Danio rerio: one gene and its partner. The protein of the gene in region 2 purifies or fractionates together with the protein of the main gene of each other region. This does not show direct contact. Links are inferred from orthologs where the notes say so. Each region holds a gene or a part of one and is shown on either strand. Other genes may lie near its edges.

Region 1 (3,156 bases), about 640 kb from region 2:
CAGCGACTCTCCCAGCAGCTGCAGGTGAGCTGCTGCATCTATCGGATCCACATCAGGGACTCGAGCTGGAGACAAAGACATGCCCAGAGACGAGCGGCCCTGAGGGGCCAAACCTGACCCTAAACTAAACGCTTTACTGGAGCCTGAAACAAACAGATACACAGGGATATTAAAGGAAATGTGTTGATGCGTGAGTCAGAATATGAAGTGTGCGAGACTGAAAACATGAACTGATATGCTTTGGTCTCACCTTTACTTTTACTGTCTGAGGTTGTTAAGGTTTTCCGCTTGACGGTCATAGCTTCAGCTTTATTCTGCTTGTGCTGGAGATATTGAGCTTTCTGTCTCCATACCTTCAGTGTCAGAAACGGCACAGAAAAACAGGATGTTCAGCAATGTCGCACATTCAACTGAAATTACAAACCTCTACCATCACTTTCAAGCACAAAAAGTCAACAATGTAAAATGTCTAACCCACTTATAAAAAGGTAGGTATTTAAAAGGTAGAGATAAAAAGCGCTGACCAGTTTATCTTTTTCCGGCAGCTGTTTCCACACCTCTGCGAGTTTCTTACTCAGCTCCCCGAAAACTGAACAAGATTCAACCAGTCACCAAACAGCACAAGATGATTGACAGCAGTGCACATGGGTTCTCTCTCACCTAATCCAGGCTGCTCTGCGTTGATATTGACCCTGTACTCTTTACAGAACACCTGATAGGCCGTCATGTTCTTCTTCTTCGGCTGATAGGATGAAGGAGAGAATATAATTAATGGTGAAATTCAAACCTCAAGTCGCTTCCAAAGCTGTAATAAAGTGATTTAGTTGACCTTGTCCTTGTCATGTTTGTCTCGCTCTTTTTCCTCCTTTTTCTTTTTCTTCTCGCCTATTAGTTCAATGCTTTGATGTTGATGCGATGAGGTGGGCGGAGCCATAGGGTACATGCCACCGGAAGAGCTGTGATTGGATGAGCTGTGAGTGTGGGAGTGGCTTCTAGGCTGATCCCCTGGTTTGCGCGGAGAGAAATTTAAATCAAACAAAAAGTGCTTCAGGGACAGGTAATGTGTCAGTGCACGTTGGATAAGGGATTCATAAAAATAAACAATAAAACTAATGAAAGTCCAAGGCACTCAAAAAGTATTCAAAAAGTATTAAAAAACAAAACTAGCCAATTTAGTGTTGAAGGTTTCATGGCTAAATTTGACCAGCCTGGTGGCCAATCTTCATTGATTGCACATTCCACAAGTAAGAGCAGAGTGTGATGGTTTAATTAGCAGAGTAAAGCTGCGGTCACACTTGACTTTTCTCCCCATAAACTTCCATTCATATGCACACGAATGCATCAGACCGGAAGCGCAGGGTCATGTGTCAAAAATCGCATCACTTGACTGCGTGAGACCAATCAAGGATCAGAACATGCCCTCTGGACAGAAATTTAAGACATGGAGCAATCGCTCACTTTTTTAATGTCTAAGTATCTTGTTTTAAGCCGCCCCTTTTCGCAGCGCCATACGACAGAATTTTGCACACACAAACTCTAGTGTGACCGCAGCTTAATAGCACAGTTTTACTTAAAATATTGCAATGCACATAACATTATGCGTGACATATCAGAGGTCAAAAAGAGGACAAATTGTTAGTGCATGTCTCGCTGGCACATCTGTCACCAAGACAGCAAGTGTTTATAATGTATCAAGAGCCACGGTATCCAGGCTAATGTCAGCATACCACCAAGAAGGATGAACTACATCCAAAAGGAGTAACTGTGGAACTGTCTGAAATGGACGACTGAGTGGTAACAGATTGTATTAAAAAAACATAAAACTGCAGCTGCCCAACTCACTGCAGAATTAAATGTGCATCTTAACTCTCCTGTTTTCACCAACGCTGTATTCAGGGAGCTCCACAGGGTGGCCAGGCTGCTATAGGCAAACCTTTGGTAACTCGTGGTAATGCCAAACGTTGAGAAAATCTTGGGCTATCGACAATGTGAAACATGTATTGTCCTCTGATGAGTACACCTTCACTGATTTTTCAACATCTGGGTTCTGCTTGTTGGGTGTGTCACTGCCAAGGACTAACAATACATTATGGAGGACCATGAGTACCCAATGGGTCAAACATAGTATACTGAAGGCAGTGCTGTGTGTCAGGATGATAATGCAACAATATACATAGCAAGACAGGTGACAGAGTGGTTTGATAAACATGAAAGTGAAGTTGAACATCTCTCATGGCCTGCACAGTCACCATATTCAAATATTATTAAGCCACTTTGAAGTGTTTTGGAGGAGCGAGTCAAAAACATTTTCCTTCACCATATCACATAGTGACTGGGCCAGTATTCTGCAATAATGGTTCAGAAACCCTCCAGCCACTGTGGACTTGTATCTCTCATTCCTAAGATGAATTAATGCTGTATTGGCTGCAAAAGGAGGTCCTACACCATCCTAATGAATCATTGTTGTCTAAAACCAGACATTTCAGTTTCATCGTCCAACCCCTGTAGTTCTCTAGGTAAATTGCATCAAGAATTTCAGACATTTTGTGTATTAATTGTGCAAATAAGGAATTATTTAATTGAATATGCACTCATTTGCATATATTTAAATACAAAAATCTGAACAATGAAAGAAATCAGGTTTAAAACTCGTGTTTTGATTTATGAGTATTTATTTTTTTATCACTCCATAGTTCAGAAAATACCATGACCAGCATTTTTTTTTTGTAGAATCCCTCACCTTAAGTAAACTTAAATGTGTCTCACCTTGACTGCTTTTCTTCCCTCCACTTCCTCCTTTGCTGTGTTTCTTCTCGCGGGATCCTTTCTCTCGATCTCGGTCTCGCTCTTTATCTTTTTTCTTTTTGCTTTTCTTGCTCTTTTTCTTCTTTTTGGAGAGACGTGTGTAGGAGTCGTCAATCACTAACTCTCCAGCCTCTAGTTCTCCTCCTGAAGATGAGCTCTCTCCTCCCATGCCTGCGTAAGACCCGCCATAATGACCTGCCGTTCATGTTGGAGAACAAAATATTTAGGATATGTTTACCACAGACCTTACTTTGCTCAAAAATATTTCTTTCATTAAATATTGAAGGACATTTGTCTATCATTCTTCTCCATCAAATGCAATAGGTTGTATTAATTGTTGTATTAAAGAGA
Region 2 (3,832 bases):
AAAATTACTATTTCCCATCAAAATTGCATCAAACTTTGAGTTGTGCTTGTAGTATTTTCACTAATGTAAACTCACCTTGTGTGCCCTAAAGAATCCTTCCATACAGGTAGCATTACCACCGGTTTGATTGCACACTCCAGAATGGCCAAAGCTAAAGCAAACTCTCTTGCCTTGCTGCACATTTGGACAGCTTTTATCCAGTTTGACCTACAACAATAAAAAAAAGATCACAGAATTATTACTTAGTCAAATTGCTACATTCAGAATAAAAAAACATCCATGGGTACTCATCAAGACCTGTGTGATGCCCAGTTGGGATGCAAGAATGGAGCAGGAATATTGTTTTCCAGCTGGATGATGGTTAATCTCAGAGTGGATACAGTCAGAGCTTTTGAGCCATACAGTGATCCGTTCCACTTGAATTCACCAGCTGGGGTCATGCAGAGCTTGTGGGAGAGATGTCTGCGTTTGTCGTGGTCTTCTCGATGCTGATGCTTATTCAGTGCAAGTGTGTTAGTGCTGTACTGGTTGTGGTAGACACGAAACTTGCCCTCCTGGCCCAATTTGAAAAAGCCACTGCTCTTGCTTGAATCTCTCTTAAAGGTGCCAAAGGACGACAGCGGAGGAGTCTAAAAGAACATACAAATGATTTACAAAAACATGTAGATATATACTTTTAGCAGTAATTTCATATTTTTTTAAAGAAACTCAACATTAACTTTTTTTGGCTAAAGACCTCTGGTATCATTTGGTTAATTTGCACAATAGCAATACAAGTTCATGAATGAGCAAATATAACTAAACAAACAGAACATTATTTAAAAAAAGACAGTGGTCTCACCTCTTTAAGTGCTCTGCTACCATCCTGAGAGCTGCCATCTTTGTCCTGCATGACCTTGCGTTGGCTTAGCTTGCTATCAGGATTCCGGAGTCGTGTAATCATGCGTGAAGATGCTGTCTTTGTGCTGTCTCCATTAGCTTTGCCATCACCTAAAATAAAAACATTAATTTCAACATGTTATGTACATATGTACATTTTACATTGGTCAGGAATTTTTTTTCTATTGAAACCAATTCATACATTAACTCAGCTTCTATAGCTTTGATACAGTAGATAAAAAATGACAGCAAATTAATATTTCTAATTCAACATCCTGTGGGTTTATTTGTATCTCTTTCCAAAAACAATTCTACTGCCACTTTAAATAAAATCTCGATGATCATGTTTATGATTTATTAAAGTATAATTGTTGCACTGATATTTTTATTTTTTTTACTTCTGCAACAAGCTAAACCAGTCAAGCGGGTGAGATATTCTATACAGCACATAAAGCCTATTATTAATTCTACCGTCAAAGAAAGAGAAAGGAAAGGATTTCTTTGTAGAATAAGGGTAAATAAAACATTTGAATTGTCGAGTACACACAAACATTGTAAAACTAAAAAAAAAGATCTTTATTTCTGTGTGTGTAGACACCTGTGTCATCTTGGCTGTTGAGAGAGGATTGAGAGGATCGATCCACCAGATCAGGCTCATCTGGACCCCGTAGGCATTCAGAGATGGAGAAATGACTGCTGCAGCTGTTCTCATCTGCTGTCTGAGCTAGCTCAGCCTCCAGTACAGAATCCCCTTCCCCATGACAGGCACCCTCTGAGCTCTTACCTGAGGAGACACATTACAATAGTGATGTGTGACATCATGCCCATATTAACAACAGAACACATAATACATATAGGACATTTGAATTGAAAAAAAAAAAAATGAAGTACAGTAGCATCCCATTTCAGTTGTCACAAAACATTAATGCTGCAGTGAGTACCCAAATACTGTTATAAAACATGGTAAATCTTAAAACATTCTCTGTTAGTATGTTCTACCAAAGAAAATGGCAGACATCCAGTGCTGTTCTGTAAGCAGGAATACTGAACAAGGGTTACTGGGAACAGTACATGGTCTCTTGTGCCAGCAGGGCCTTTGATGCAGCACAATAAAACGGAAGATCTACTGTTAGTGTGGGTATGAACAGCAGTTCACAAAGGAGGCCTGTCTTAATGTAAAAAGAATGTGAAATTTTGGAAAGCACTCGCTGTACCTGTCAACTCTTCCACCCCATCAGTCCCTTCCCCTTTCTCCTCACCGCTGGAAGACGATGTCACAGCATTTCCTATCGGACTCTGCGAGTCCGGTTTTGTCTGTACGGTGGAGCTGGATGATGCCGCAATCTCAGGAACACTGGAACTGAGCACCTCACCAACTGGAACAGCAGAGACTGAAGCTAAAATTTGAACGGACACAAGAAACTGTGTTTAGTTTTCAAGATTATTTGGTGATACTTTCAAATGCAAATGATGAGGACTGTAGCAGCGTTTGAGAAGAGCCAAGATAACCACACTACAAGTATTCCAAAATATTGCAAAATTATGAAAACACCATCCAAATATTATCTTTACATAGATGCTCAATCGTTCTTAAAGGATCAGGAAAAAGCAAAACACATTTTCTGACATGTTGACAGTCATCTAAATGTGTCACGTTGCTAAAAACACTATTAGGACACATTTATTTCTCTAAAAAGTGAATACTGATTGTTTTTGAATTGTTTAGAGCAAATCCAATCTTCCGGTTCAACGTCAAGCAATGAGATCATCGTGTAGTTCCAGCGTAGAGATTGGCTGTCTGTACCAGCCGGTACAAAGTGACGTCCTTGAGTTTTCAGCACATCATAAATTCATTAGAAAGACTTGGTTCGAACCAATCAGGGTGCTCTATTGTGAACTTCAAAAATATGCATGATTTAGCTTCGAAGACTGTTTTTTAGGGATGTAACGGTATTGTAAATACCGTCATACCGCAAAAGCAATTTTTTCCGATATTACTGTAGTCGCATGACTCGATAAAACTCGGGGTTGGGGTTTGAGCGCGCATACTCAAGATCGGTGTTGTCGCGCGCCTACTGAAGGGCGGGACGGAGGGTGTGTCGCCTCGCGGGGGCACTTTTGATCATTTTGGAAGGGCACTTTCTATCCAAGACTAAAAAGGGCATGTGCACTGCACAGGTTGAGCCCTATGTGTGCACGTGCCTGCAAGTTGGGGAATACGACTAATAACAGTGATGGGGACTGCAGAAAAACAGCACACTGTTCAGATTGATGCAGACATTGACTTGTACCGCAAAGAGACCTGTATCTCACTCATGGCTTGTCCTCTAAAGTGGGGGAAAGACAATGCACAACGTCACCCACTGCTGTCAACCTGGGCCAAGTCATATCTCTGTCCCAGAAACCTCAGTCCCAAATGAGAGGGTTTTTTTCTGTTGCAGGGGATCCCAGAGATCCCAGTTTTTACCACATTATAGTTATATGATAATTTTCCGTAAAACCCATCTCTATCTAAGTGAGTGAGTGAGTGATTAAATGTTGAATGTGATGAGTTTTCAACAATAATAAATTGAAACTTTATTTTTTTACATGGTTTAATAATTTTTAGTTATTAAAATTGAAGTTCCTGTTTCAAAGCTTACAGATAGGCTAATTTGTATGTCATTGACACTTTTGGCGCTTTTTTGGAGTATTTTCATAAGTTTTGTTTTTCCTGTAAATGATTCAATAAATACCGTACCGTGACATTCATACCGAGGTATTACCGTACCGTGAAATTCTGATACTGTTACATCCCTACTGTTTTCACCTGTTACATGTTCAGAGAGACGCCACGTGTTGCCAACCGTAATTCAAACTAATAAGAGTAGTATTGTTGGGAGACATGGTTGGCCAGTGTTGTGTTTATACATGTGCCACAACGAAAATTTAGTTTTCATTACCTCGTGATGAG

The links.
Region 1: the proteins of bptf (region 2) and hmgxb4a fractionate together in Homo sapiens (co-fractionation; 3 studies listed by BioGRID, with this or other methods). This does not show direct contact. The link is inferred for Danio rerio from reciprocal best matches to the Homo sapiens genes BPTF and HMGXB4.

The regions. Positions count from the first base shown.
Region 1 is NC_133178.1:24,791,256-24,794,411, reverse strand, and holds part of hmgxb4a (HMG domain-containing protein 4a), read right to left. Parts: intron 3,001-3,156; coding exon of another isoform or gene 2,977-3,000; coding exon 2,767-2,976; intron 1,006-2,766; coding exon 830-1,005; intron 743-829; coding exon 661-742; intron 590-660; coding exon 525-589; intron 354-524; coding exon 251-353; intron 144-250; coding exon 1-143. UniProt on the Homo sapiens protein: Negatively regulates Wnt/beta-catenin signaling during development.
Region 2 is NC_133178.1:24,151,392-24,155,223, forward strand, and holds part of bptf (nucleosome-remodeling factor subunit BPTF), read right to left. Parts: intron 2,277-3,832; coding exon 2,094-2,276; intron 1,664-2,093; coding exon 1,478-1,663; intron 991-1,477; coding exon 842-990; intron 630-841; coding exon 298-629; intron 208-297; coding exon 76-207; intron 1-75. UniProt on the Homo sapiens protein: Regulatory subunit of the ATP-dependent NURF-1 and NURF-5 ISWI chromatin remodeling complexes, which form ordered nucleosome arrays on chromatin and facilitate access to DNA during DNA-templated processes such as DNA replication, transcription, and repair.